Lepisosteus oculatus: one gene and its partner. The protein of the gene in region 2 purifies or fractionates together with the protein of the main gene of each other region. This does not show direct contact. Links are inferred from orthologs where the notes say so. Each region holds a gene or a part of one and is shown on either strand. Other genes may lie near its edges.

What was found.
Region 1: the proteins of tacc3 (region 2) and enah purify together in Homo sapiens (co-immunoprecipitation; 3 studies listed by BioGRID and IntAct, with this or other methods). This does not show direct contact. The link is inferred for Lepisosteus oculatus from reciprocal best matches to the Homo sapiens genes TACC3 and ENAH.

Annotation. Positions count from the first base shown.
Region 1 is NC_090697.1:58,666,646-58,673,784, reverse strand, and holds the start of enah (protein enabled homolog), read right to left. Parts: upstream 3,018-7,139; 5' UTR 2,926-3,017; coding exon 2,831-2,925; intron 1-2,830. UniProt on the Homo sapiens protein: Ena/VASP proteins are actin-associated proteins involved in a range of processes dependent on cytoskeleton remodeling and cell polarity such as axon guidance and lamellipodial and filopodial dynamics in migrating cells.
Region 2 is NC_090696.1:5,719,319-5,726,841, forward strand, and holds the start of tacc3 (transforming acidic coiled-coil-containing protein 3), read left to right. Parts: upstream 1-4,511; 5' UTR 4,512-4,620; intron 4,621-6,321; 5' UTR 6,322-6,322; coding exon 6,323-6,487; intron 6,488-6,619; coding exon 6,620-6,771; intron 6,772-7,523. UniProt on the Homo sapiens protein: Plays a role in the microtubule-dependent coupling of the nucleus and the centrosome. Involved in the processes that regulate centrosome-mediated interkinetic nuclear migration (INM) of neural progenitors.

The sequences.
Region 1 (7,139 bases), on a different chromosome or scaffold from region 2:
CCATTTCAAAACAAGTCTGTTCTGTCCATACTGAAAATGTTTTCCGGCTTGTTCCCCCTCAATTTTAAGATGTAGTAGCTTATACACTCATCCCTTTATTATACCAGCACAACTGGGTCCAAGATTACAAAAGCAAACCCAAAATCTACAATAAAATATTGTTATTGATCTTTAATTAACAGTAAAACATAGAAGAATTTGCATTCCAAGTGTTCATAACCGGACACAAACCATCTGAGGTACTTTTTCTGATACATTGATACCGATACTGTGGACCTATGAATTGCTATGCAAGTAGAATTTCCCACTTTTTTTATGGCAGTTGTTACATTTAAATGTATTAGGAGCAGTTATGGGGAGAAATACAATTTGCATGATCTCTATAGTATACCAACAATATAAAATGAACTAATCTAAATTTCTTACTAAACAAAAATTTTCAAATGAATTAAATTTGTGTAGACCCATTACTTGCAGACTGTGAGAAAGCATTGAAGATCGTGGGAGAGGTGACATCAGGAGAGAAATGCGCATCAGTTGTGCAGACAGCCAAGAGGAGCAAAAAATGGAAAAGAAGAACAAGCTACACTCTCAGAGCTTATATTAGCAGGGAAAAGTCACTCATCTTACAAAAACAGATATGCGCATTTGCCTTTTTTAGCAAGTACTTGTAAATGCAGTGCTCGTTTAATGAGGGATGAGTGCATATATATTATATATAGTACTGTAATGAAGTATCATGTGTGTACAGTAACTGTCATCATGCTGTGTTGGGAGAGAATGTTGGCTGGCATGGCACACCACAAATATCTAAAACGATGAATCTGCCAAGTGAAAGGATAACATTAGGCAGGTTAAACATACTAAATCTCTTGGGAAAAAATAAGGAAATACGACCAAGATATTCAAAATCTATTAAAAACCCCACAGAGAACCTAAATTACTACTTCAAGACCTAGATGAAACCAGAACAAGGGGAAATTTTGAAATTACTCCAATGCAGACAGAGGATTAAGAATACAAAACAATTAAGAATAATATGGATGCATGACAAAAAAATCGCCAGGGCTCTTGAAGAATCAGCTTTGTTGAATCTCTCCAAGTAAACCTAAGGAAACTTTTAAACCCACCATGCAAGTTCACAGTCTGTCTTTAAATCTGGTTCTGGTATCTTATTACAACTTGGAGGCCTGCTTGAACCCAGTTATTTTGTACATCTGTTAAAATAATGTGATATATTCATGAAGCATTTCCTGCTACATAACTTTCCAGAAAGGGGTAAAAAGTCCTTGTGTGACAAAATCTGAGACTCCTTAACCAGCATGCTTCCACATTTATGTGACGACTGACAACCTCATTAAGTATTTTTAAGAGAAAAATAAATGTTAATATAGCATTACTATAAATTATATAGTCCTGTGTTCAGTTAGTCTGCCAACAAACAGTACAAGGCAGGAATTGTCTATACATTTCTTGATGCATTAATCAGAAATTGTGGCAGTGCAAGTTTCTAGTACACATCTTGAACCTATTTTCCCTTCAGAACCCATCTTCCATTCCAACAGCAGCACAACAAAAATTTGAGAAAGAAAGCAAGCCTTATTGCTATCTCTGTCCTGAAAAGAATGTACAGCTGGCTGTATCCGGCAAATTCCTAGAGATGGCTCTCTGAGTAAACAGAATTTCAGCTTACTTCACTGGGCTATAGAAACTTATTACTATAATACAGAAACTCAAGTATGCCACAGTTCCCCAAGTATCAAGTGCATCATATCCAAGTGTACCCTAACAATCTTAGGGTACAGTGTTGTAGTGCAAGAGAAATAAGTCATCCAATTCAAATGGCAGCTCCCAAGCAAAGACTGAAAACAGTGATAAGTGTGGTGTTTTTATGTTTGTTTATGATTTAAACACAGCAGCCTGAGAAAAGTTTAAAACCTTAACAGAGATGTGCTGACAAAAACAGTTCTCCAGTTTCAAAAGCAGATAAAGGGAAGGTTATTGTTTGCACATGGATCTTGACAATCTATGTAAAACCTACTAGCAGAACAGCTAAATATGCGCATATAAAAAAAGATGCTGATGAAAAAGCAAAAACTACCTCTACTTTGGGAAGACAGCACAAAACTGGTTTTTCAGAACCATACTATCCACTTAAAAGTGGCTATAAGAATGAAGTACACAGAACTGTGGATCAAGTTCCATTAATTTTCAAAGCCTGGGGAGGCCACAGATTAGTGGGGCAGAAATAAACACCATATATTCACTAGAATAAATTAAAAAAATGATCCGGCATCACACCACTTTCTGCGACCTCCCATCTTTGTGCACGGTGGGATTTAACAGAAGATAAACAAACAGGCTTCACCGACACTGTGCTCCCATACTTCATATACTGTACACATTTTGGTTTTTCTTCCACGAAAAACTCCAGCAATTGGCGGATTTCTAAAGATGAAGAGACAAAAATGAAAGTGATGTGGTTCGTATAAATATAACCACTGCCAAACCAAGAAGAGGGTCTAATTCTACATCAGCCTATTAATGGATTAGTGCAGCACTGGCCTGTGATAGCAGGCTAGTCATGAGTTATTTAAGTCCCACTTCAAATCTGATCACAGCTCATATGCTGTATCCAGTATGTTATCCGAGCACCTACTGTAGGTACAGTCCTACCGAACAAAACATTAAGGAAACATGACGGAAATATAACCAACCACATGACACTAAAATACTACACATATACAAGAGATTACTTTCCCCATCTCATTCCCCTTGTCAACAATAGCACCATATGGAGATATGACATCATTTCAATGAAAAAACTTACACAGCAATAGACATCTCAGTCATGAGGAGAGTGGGCGTGTCCAGCACTTTTACAGCCACTTGGTCCTGAGTATTCACCACATTAAGGAACCTCATGGTTAGAGTCTTTCTTCCTCGCTCGACTGAACCCAGCCTCAGACTGAAGCTCCTCTCCTGCCCATCTGGCCAGCAAAGAGAACCCCTCCTTCTGCGCTAATTCTGTAGGGATGGGCAGCCCTTAAAGAATGTCCCTGCTCCCTAGAATAAACTTGCTGACTGAAGAGAGCCGTGTGTATTTAATTTTCCAGCTAAAGCCTTCCTCCCCCACAAACACCATCTTTTCAGACGGGGAGCCACAGAGCCCTTACACTGCTGAGGATGTTTTCTCTGTTCTCTAAAAAAGCCATACTGCCAGATTCCAAGAGAAACAAAGCAGAGTCAGAGATTGAAAAAATAACAGTCAAATGTGACACTTTAAAAGGTATATTCCATGCTGAAAAAAAGAAGAAAGAAAACACGTTTCGCCGTGGGGCCTCCTTCAGGTGTGTGGCCCCACACCGAAACGTTGTGTTTTCTTTCTTCTTTTTTTCAGCATGGAATAAACCTATTACTTTTTCCTTTGCAGCCTACGCATGCTGATGCAGCTACCCACCTGAACTCCTTTAAAAGGTATGCATGAAATAACGTAAAGCTAATCTTAATATATTAATAAATATTAATCCTAATACTTCTGTGAATATAGGTGCTACTCCCTTAATTGCAGTGCATCAACGAAACGATGTGTGGTTGCTGCCAAGCCCACTGTATTTCTTGTACTTTCCTAGTAAATGCCCAGTGGTCCTGATGATAGAGAGAGCCCAAGAGCACACAAAAAAAAACAATGGTTCACATTTTTCTCAATGAAAAATGCCTTACGAGTAAACAGGAAGATAATTACTGTAGCCAGGCTATAATTACTGCATTACAAAAAGAAAACATATATAACCAACCATAGAAAACAAAGAAAACAAAAATTAAAACACTTCACAGCAAAACGGCAAATGCAAAGGACAGTCTGCATCTCATTCCAACATTCAGACGTCCTTCAGCGTTAGACTCCTTAATTATTTATTCTTTTTCATTATTTATCACACCACCTTGTCACACTTATACTTTCAAGTTGCGGAAGAACAGATGGACATTGATTTTCTGGAAGGGTCGCTGCTGGGCTCAAGACCCTGAATTCCATGTTCACAAGCTGACGATATTTAACCATTCAATAAAGCGTTATCTGCCATGCAAGATGTGCAGACAGGAGGCTGTCAAAGTGAGCTGTGATGGGAAGCAGCTGCAAGGGCACTGCTGCTTTGACTTGTGGTTGTTCCAAGGCCAGTGTGGCATAATGCTGCTATAAAAGGAAAGTACAGAATCCAGAACACACAGAAATATACTGGATGGAGAAAGTAAATGCAACAGTGCTGAACTCCAGAAAGAAAACCCCTGTAATAAAAAGCCAGGCATTCCCACTACTCTTCATTCGTTCATTCACTAGGAACGTCGTACTAATTTGCTTGATTTCTGAGTGGTTTGTTATTTTGTCCAAATTGAAATCAGTTTTAACTTCTATTATGCCCATCCTTTAGAAACACAGGGCATTTTACTTTACTTCCTAGTCGAGAGTCAGCACAACTTTGATGAAGCAGCAGTAAAGGCAGGGGAGAAAATTAATATCAGAGCCACACAAAAACTGACAATCCACTTTCACCAACACAAAAAGCCAAAATCCCAAAACAAACTGGATTTGTACCCTGAAATGCGTTTTTTTTTCTCTGAACGGCTCATATTTTCCTTCTAGAAATATAAAACAAGAAAAGAGAGATTTCTAAAATAACCACTGTCATTAAAATAGGTTTCCCGGAATGTACATTATGTGTTTTAAGGACAATATGTACTAATTAGAAACTCAAAATCCTTAACCCTTTGAGATACACCACAAAGTTTATATTTTATGACAATCTGTAAAATACTACAGTATATTAAACAAGCAGCAATTATTTTTGAGTCTTTCTTAGTACTGGGGCATACCTGTTTTTTCTACAGTAGGTTATACAGCCATTTACTATCTCCTATAAATTTGTGGGGTTTTTTTGTTCTATAAAGCAGTTTGAAAAGCCACTTTCAAAGACACTATAAAATAAATAAAAGGTTTATATTTAAAAAAACATGGCCACACTGCCAGCAAAACGCAGAACAAGTCCTTGGCTACTTACACTTAAGCTTGTACCGATGACGTTATCCTGAACTGACTGGTGCAGAAAGTGCTTGGTGATGTATTTCCAATCTGCCTGGAGTCATACATTAAGCCTAATTTTTTTTTTTGCCTTGACATAGAAATGCTGGTGGGACAGATTTGATCGCAGAAAGGATTTTGTGGGGAAAAGCACTACCAGACAGATGGGAAGAGTACACCACGTCTGTCACCACTGGCCACCCCCACCTGCCACTCCATCTCAACAGCCATGACCACACAGCAAAACCATAAGGAAACACTGTATTGATTTAAATGCACCCAGGCCAAGAAACAAGGTTAGTATACATAGTAAACCTTACAAGCATTCAACACCTAATGCTTTCCTTCTGCTGGGCCTCTTTAAGCTCTGTATTCTTAATTAATGTAAAATTATTTATTTAAAATAATCATTACATATACCACAGGCTCACCCTAGTCTAAAACTAGTTCGCCTCAATAGAGAAGGCCCAGTAATTCCCACATACAGTAGGATTCTTTTCTCCATCTAAAAGAAAGTCTTAAACAACCTTATACAGTATGGAACCTTAGAATTTAGCATTGTACTGTAAGACAGCACTAGGATTTAAGGTAAAATCAATCAGGTTCCACCTTCAAAAACATTTTAATCAGAAATTTGATTTGGCCTTTAATGCTTAACTATTGGGAAAAGCTTAAAGTTTGTGTAAAGCTTTTTAAAAATATAATTCTTTTAGTACAATCTTCATTGCTAGTAACATGTACAGAGTGTCTTTGTATTTACTAATTGCAAATAAACAGGAATAGGAATAAAATTTAGCAGTAAAGGGTGTTGTTAATATTAAGTAAAAAGGGTTATGTACTTTAACAAAACATTCCTAACTTTTCCTCTTAAAAACAACCCAGATTTATATAGTACTGAATGAAGGTGTTGATCTGACACCCCTAATTTGCCCTGTGCTCTATATAAACCAGTCTTGGTAGTGTCAAATGCTTCAAATGCCTTTTGTGCCTTAAGTGAAAGAAACTCTGTAGATGTCTAACTTAACTGGCCATGTGAGATTCCAACACCAGCCCCCATAGGTCCTTTTTTATGTACGAGTAGATCTGATACATAAGAAAAGCAACATTCTGCCAGTACCGTGGGCAATAACCAAGAGCATGCCGGTCAATAAATTATCTTGGCAGGTAAAAAACATCTCGGCAGATTCAAATATTCTGAGTAACTGCCAAAATGTCCTCTTTTCCCATCATTAAAAAAAGCTTTCTGATATGCAATATGCTTTCTTTGAACAGACTACCTCCTGGCCATCACCAAATACATCTAAATAGCCTCAAAGAAAGGTCCACAAGGAACTTTTTTCACTGCACTTTTTTTTTCCTTTTTTTAGTGCAAAAAGCGTACTGGAAGGTTTAGTACGTGTTTGAGTTCTGGTCTATGTGAATAATTTAAAAAGAACAAAGTCCTATTTTCTCCTCCAACGGTATTTATCGTTTGTCACAGAATGAAAAGGGAAAACTTAAGCAAAGTTGGTCCAAGTTGGTGCAAGAGATGCACTGAAATGTACATGAATCTGAACAGCAGCTTTCAGGATATCGGTACAGGAACCACTTTTACATTAAACACCACTCAATTTAATGATCTCACACTTAGAACAAGGTTCTAACTGCAGCCCGCAGAGGTTTCATTTTGGCACAATATAAGAACAAAAGTATTACATTACCAGTTTGTGAAAAATTCTCTATACCATTCTCGCTCGTGGTAGAAAGGAGTACCAAACGGCCAACGTTCATGGCCAAAATGAGAGGGCATATTTTCTGGAAGCATGCATGAATAGGAACAGAAGCCATTTTAATATTTCAGTATTGTCAGCTTGAAACAGACTTGCAGGGAATCAAGATACTGAAAATGCCAAGCTATCATCAAAAAAAGATTAGCCCACACTGCCACTATACAGATGCAATATTAGCATGAGCCTTATTATATTATATTAATTAAGCAACACTCAAGGCTGCAAACTCCAATTTCTCGCACACAGGCAAGAGGAAATGCAATATGGTCTGAAATGGTATAACCCTGCATCAC
Region 2 (7,523 bases):
GATATAGACATCTATATGTGTCTGAGAGTTTAAAGTCTTGAACTAAGTTTTGCAGGGCCAGTGAGCTGGAATCCAATTTTATCGGAGAGCTAGACTGCCTGTCTGTGTGCTCTAAGATACAATTAAAATCCCCTCCCACTATCACGTCTGTGCTACATAACAATAGGGGAGAGTGCCTTGAGTAGCTCCACCCTTCCTCCCACCTCAGTAGGACAATACACATTGATTAGCCGCAGGTTAACGGTCCCCCATTCCACATCCACACACAGCAACCTGCCAGCTATTACCCTCTGAATACTTTTCAATTTGAATGCCCATCCTTTGAAAAGAATGGCCACGCCAGAGGCTCTGTTGTTATTGTCCCCTGACCAAACAGAAGGCCCTTTATCCCACCTATCTTCAAAGCTTTTATACCTCTCTTGATAGGCTAAAGCACACTCCTGCAACATCAACACATCTCCCTCTCTCTGCTGGAGGTAATCAAAGACAGACTGGCATTTAACTCTGTCATTGATACCTCTGGTGTTAAGAGAAATTATGTTTAGAGCCATATTACATAAGAAAGTGGAACCAGTCTTTACAAAACACATTTCTCTTCTGTCTCACCTGTTACCTTCTTCTTTTTCTTCTTACCAATTTCCTGCCAGCCATCCTCTGAATGAGCCTTCATTAGGATGGTCTCCTCTTCCCCCTCACCCACCAGCTGCCGCAGATCCTTCGTGATGGACTGGATGGAGGAGAGGAGGGCATCTGTAGCACTTGCAGAGTCTGAGAAAAGCAGCTCCGCTGAATCCTGGGTATCCTCGCTGGACCCGCTCCACCGGGGGGCCCCACACTGGCCCTCGTTCTGAGGAGCAGGAGTGGGGGAGGGGTCCTCGCTGTTCTCGGGGGTTTTCAAACCCTCGTGCTTGTCTGGTGCAGTCTGCGGTTGTGGGGGCGTAGTGGATTTCTCTTCCACCAGCCCCGGAGCCACAGCAGGACTGATCCTGGCTGGAGGCTGAGAGTCTTTGTCCAACAAGGGTTCTTTGTTTGACTTGTTGTTTGCTTTGGCTTTTCGGGCCGGTTTGGCTGAAACAAGCACTGCCTCATCCTTTCTCATTTTGAGTTTATTGGCGTAGGCGTGAGGGCAGTTCTTAAAAACGTGTCCTTCCGAGCCACATAAATTGCACTTTGGCAGCATTGAACAGTCAGAGGCTAAATGTCCCTGTTTGCCACAGGTCTTGCAGCATTTCACAGTGCAGGACGATGCCAGATGTCCCACAGCACCACAGCGCCGACACACCTTTGGTTGTCCCACATAAAACACATAGCCATTGCAGGCGCCCAGCCGGATTGTAGAGGGCAGGTGCCTTAAGCGTCCATTTACGCTGTCCGGTAGCAAGCGAACTTCGAATTTCCCTGCTCCTGTTTTTATACCGTCAACATCTCTAACCTCAGTTCCATGGTGGACGGTGCAGTACTGGTTAAGCCAGGTGTGAATGTCCTCCGTCTTTGCCAGTTCCGAGAACATAACAACATGCACCGTTTTCCTCTCTCTCTGTGTCAGAGGCTGCAAGTTGATCTTCTCAAGTGCAGGAACTTTCCCTCTTTTTGCCTCAAACACATCCACGCATTGTTCAAACAGAGGATAGGTAGCAAATAGAACCTCAAATGCTTTCTGACCTGGGAGAGCGAAGATGAAATCCAAGTTCCGAGGTTCAAAGCCGAGCTCCTTCTGTAACACTTTTCTGCTGAACTGCACACGATCCATGAAGAGGTCATCCAAAAGCTCAAAACGTACAGCATTCTTGCGGGATCCAAAGGTTGCCATTTCAAAAACTGCAAAACAAACACTGCTCCCACAAAACAAGAAAACAATCCAACTACTCCACCTACAGGCTGATCAAGGTATCTCCCCTGCCATCTCAGTAGGACAATTGATTAGACGTTGATTAGATGCTGGTTAATGGTTCCCCAATCAACACACAGTCACCTGCCAAAACTTTTTTGCATACCTCAGCTTGCTCTCCATGAGACACAGACATGAGGAGAAGCTTGGGGTTAGATAGCAGGGTCAGCCATTGTACAGCACCCCTGGAGCAGCTGGGGCCCAATGGGGTAGGATTCCTCTGCCAGCCCCTGGATTTTACCTTCCAGCCACAGGTGCAGATCCTTAGCCACAATGTCACCACTCAATTCAAGAAGTTTTGTTGGCATGACCAATAAAAAAATCACTGTTGCCACATCATATATAATCAACATAAGATCTACAGACATTTACAATATAGAGACATCATAATACATTTACATACAAATATATGGAGCATTATTGAGGCCATCTACCACTCTCATCTATCACTCCTAGACTGGGAGAGCACGGATACATTTTGGAAACTGTGGTTCATACCCCGGCTCTCTTTGCTGTATTTGTCTGCTGAACTGCATGTTGTCCATAATAAGACAATCCAGGAGCTCAAAGCACAGTGCATTCCTATGACTTCCAACACCTTTCATTTTCTAAAGCTCTGGGGAAAAATACTACGGCTTGTTGCCAACAGCACCACAGAGAAAGGCACTTCTCCATCAGCTATGTGATCATGGTATCGACCCTCTCAGTGTACAATCATTACCTTTGACAATCTGTTTGCAAGGCAAGGTGTTGTCAGGTCCTGGTGTTCTTTTTATATACTTCTATTTTATTTATTCATACTCTGTCTTGTAACACTATCTCAAAGATGATCTAAAACGATGCCTGATGAGTAGATGAGCACACTGAATTTAACAATGATGTTTTTAGTAGAAGATGAAAGGGCACTTGTGTGCTGGCTTGGTATAACTCATTAATCAGTGGATCTCATCCAGCAGTGTTCCACCTGTCCTTTTAGTTTGTTCCATGCTGCTACCACTCTTTGTGCTTTTCTTTCACGTTAAATTTAATGGAGATCTCCTGAGCTCCCCTCTGTACTTTATTTTGTGTTTAAATGCTTCTGCTGAAGAAATGTATTGCAACAGGCCAAGGGCGGCTTTACATGTGTGAAATTCAGTGATTACACCTGAGAATTAAGTTCCGAATTCATCATCCCACTTAAAAAAAAAAACAGTTTTGAGAGTATGTCTGAGAGTAAAGCCCAGAGTTACATCTCCCTGTGATCAAATCCCTTTCCAGTAGTGATCTTAACTAGAAGTGATATAAATTGCTTATTTTTTCTCTAAGCCTAGTCCTAACTTAGTCCAACTTAGTTGGTTTGTTGGACACAGACAGTCCGAGCTCTGTGGATATTTGGATACTTCCTTAGGCACACGGATCAGCAATCTTCACCTGTGAATTCTAATGTATGGCATTGTTCCAAGTTAAATGAACCAGTGCCTGTACCAATCATGGCCTCCTAATAACCCCCATCTATGAACTGGCTTCATCTCTGTTCTCTTCCACAAGAGCTCCTGTGTGGTGAGTGTACTGTGAGTGCAGTATGGGCTGCTGTCGCATCATCCCATCAATCAGTCTGTATAAACCTATGCACATTTTGCACATATTTTATTGCTTTTACAGTGACTATGATCATCACATTTTGCACACACCTATGTATTTATTTTTTATTTTGTTGTCTTTTGTTTTATAACTATTCTTAAGTCTGTTTTTGCTTGTCTTAGGCTGGACTGCTGTAACACATCAATTTCCCTACGGGATTAATAAAGTATTATCTATCTATCATCCAGGTGGGGCTGCACACTGGTGGTGGAGGAGAGTCCCCATTACCTGTAAAGCACTTTGAGTGGAGTGTCCAGAAAAGCGCTATATAAGTATAAGGAATTATTATGATTTCCATTTTTAATATGTCCTGTTTAACAGAATATCGTTTAAAAAAAATTCACAAAAGGCACTAAAACTGAAACGAGAGTGACCACAAAATCCTTTGCCCACAATTTTGTTTGATGTGGTTCTAATCACGTTTTCCCGTTTTGTTTTAGGTTCTGCTGGTATCATTACAGTAGACCAGACACCCTCTGTTTTTTTTTTTTTGCCGGAGGAGAGGAAACTACCACTGCCAGTGTAAAAGTGTTACTGATCACAGAGACATGGAGATGTATCAGATGAAACCAGCCCTCGTTTTATAATTCGGCTTCACTTTTCCCGGGATGAAACTCGGTTTGGTGGCAGTAACACTAATGCTGACCACACATTCACGGAAAAAAAAAACTTTTAGCGCTGCTCAGGACACGTGCATCGTACATTTGCACTGTCGACATATATACACTTCTGTCAATCAATGGCACAACGAATTCAGAGACTGATTATATGTCATCAACAAGCTCAGAAAAACACAGCTTCCGCTGACACAATCCTCCTCTTTAACTAGTAACGCAGCGCTCGAGCTCGTCGTTTCTCCATCCTATTGGGTTATTCGGCAATCAATCATGGTGACGTACCCTTATCTCGCAGCTCCGTCTGTCCTCAGTCGCCATTGGCTGGTTTGTCTTAAAAAAACACCCATTTGCTGACGTGCTCCCTTTCCCGATTGGCTGCTGGCCTCGGTTTAAATTTAAAATGTACTGGGCGGTTTGCAGCGCTTGAACGTCAGGTACGGACTTGAGTGTGAAGAAAGCTGTTCGCGTTTGATGCTGTTTTACTCGTCGTTCGAGGTACGTATGAGTTTGTGCCGGGCTTTAGAAGTAATTGTTGCATGTTTCGGCGCTTTTTATTTTTGATGGAAATCGTCTCTGGGCAGACAGCGGGGTTACGGGGAGAATCGCAGCTTTCTTGGTAGTTGTGTTTTGGATTTTGCGCCTGTAAGGGAAAACGGAAAATTATCTGTCGGCCAGGTTTCACCGGGTAAGCCGCAGTACGTCTTCACTTTCGAGCTGCTTTATTCGTGATGGGACGGATGAATTGCGGCGTTGCTGTGATGCGGGTCAGCCGAAAGACAGTTCATGTGTGCGGGTGTGAGGCCGTGTTCACTCGCGGCTGCCTGCTTCAATGGCTGGATAAGTCATGATCGTGTCATTAAGTGTTGCTAAATCACTGAACGCAACGCCGAACTGCAGGCCTGTTTGTGACAATCAGACTTCTTGGAGGAAAGCTGTCACCTGGGTGAGTTTTTAGAAATTGCCAGTTACGTGTGAATCTCTCTTTAGTCTGTCGAAGCCCGTTTTTCAAGTTTAAGACGCGGTCTATCGCCTGAACCCACAGTACAGGCGATAACGTCTTTGTTGCTCATCTTTGCTAATGATCGATGAGGATGTAATAAAATCAGATGATCGCTGCATCCTTTCGGCTCAGTTCCGGGAAACGTGCATGGAACTTGCTTTCTTGTCCTCACATGTTTAAACGGGGCTGGGAGGTCCTCTCTATGCGGTGACGTAATCTTGCGAAGTACAGACTGTCGGTGAGAGAGAGATAATTCGTCTTTCTTTTTATGTCGTGAATGGGTTTTATGCCTGTGCTATTTGAATTCAACCACAGGTCCTAGAGTTGGACTTTTATCGTTTCTGGCTTCTGATAGCCCCTCCCGCAAGATAACATCTTTGTGTTTAAAATGGTAAATCTTCAGACACGATAGGGACACGTTCTTTGTCACCTACAATAAAAGAGCCAAGTGAAAAATCAGTGCTTTCCAGTATGGTCACATGGGCTGTATCTCAAGGTTTCTGGAACATGTCATTCCGCCCCTGCTTGGGAGTCTTGTTTTTTGTTCTGGTCTTGTGATGACACTGCCATAATGAAATTCATTGTTTTGGTTGGACTACAGGACTGGAAGCTGCTGTGTTTCAGCCTGTGTTGCTGTGTGTGGCCAGTGGTTTTATAGTCATGGAATGCACTGTTTCCTAAACATCAGTAAATAAGTTGAGCATTTACACAATGTTTAGTACATACTAGATTAGTTCTGCAGTGGTTGCCTTCAAAGAGGTTTAAGGATTTATATCTTTTCACAAGAAATCTGGGAAACTGTTTTTTGCTCTGTCACACATTTAGTGAGGTCAAACTGCATGTGATTCTTTTTTAAAAAATCCCAAATTCTTAATTCAGTATGGAAAATGACACCCGGCACTCTACTCCTGACTTGTATGTAGTTTTTGTTTTAAAATTCAAACATATACTGTACATAATCCAGTTAATGAGGGCTGAAAGCAATGAGTGGACCGAATCATGTCCACTGTGTAGTAACTAAAGGTACAGTGAATTTGTGCTGAAGGTGAGTGATATAGTGGATATGAAGTGGTATTGACAGTGGAGTCATGCTGAGTGTGCTTTTCCAAATTGGTCTCCACTGTTATCTGCCAGCCCAGCTGTGGAGCTGGCACTCTGGGCGTGGCCTGTCACTCACACTGGCTGTCTGCTCGCAGGATGAGTGTGGTTGCCGTGAACGATGAAAACTTTGGCGTGGATCCTGCACGAAGCTGCATCAGTTTGGAGACTTGCGATATCCTGCAGCCCACAGGAAGACCCTCCATCTTGCGCCAGTCCCAAAAGGAAAACATGCCTCCTAAAAGCTTGGCAAAGGGAGTGAAGGTATAGAACTTCTGAACTGTGTAAAACGCAATCCTCTTTCCAAATGAGCTCCGTTGGATCTTTTTAATTAAGCCCTTGAACACCTGTGTTGGAGAAGATGGGTACAGTTGCCACGTCTCCCTTTTGTTTCAGGTCTGTTTTCAGACGCCCTTGCGAGACCCCGTGACGCGCAAGATTGTCTCGTCAAACAAGGGAAGCCAGGTGGAGCGTGCTGATGGTCTGGATGACTGCACCAAGGCTATGGAAACTCTTTCCCTGGAAAACCACCCTGCTGCCATCACAGGGTGAGCTGCTGATGTGGGTTTGCGTTTGGTAGAACAGGAATCCACCAGTATTCTTACTCTTTATACCTGCTGCCACTGTTCTTTTTTCTGTGCTTCCTGAGGGGAGAGGAAGGGATAGGCAAAGGTGTTCTTGCCCAAGAGCTGTGCCCTAGAGTACTGTGTATGAGAGGTCACAAAGGAAGAGTCTGGCAAATGTTGAGTTTACCTGGACTTTTTGTGACCAAGCCTACTGAAATAGGACACTCTTTTGAGCTCTCAATACTTATTTTAGAGTGACTACAACTTCTACAGTCTTAATTCTTCATTTTACTGTGCTTTTTAGGTTTATTTTCTGAGCAAAGATTTTGGGACCAGGAGTCCTTTCCCTTTTGCCTTACTTTGCAGGAGTCTCCTGCTTGTTTTGAAGTCTGAAATATTTTGCAGAAAAATTACAAAGTCAGCATTGCATCTTACTTCTTGGGTAAAATTGTAATGTTGTATGTTTTAAACCACTTTAATTTCAAGGTCTTTCAAGGTTAAGACTTTACATGTTTGGATATGCCTATTTAACTGCATGACATTTAGGTCAGTGTTCTTGAATGTCAATACCTTAATACCTTTATATACCAGAAGTGGTGAATTTGACCTATTAGCATTTTAATGATTTTTTAAGACCAGTTGCTAGGCTTATCCATCTGGCTGTAACAAAAGGAGAACTGATGATTGTGGCAGAGGAGGAGCTGAGGAAAGGCCAGGATTTGTTGTGAGCATTT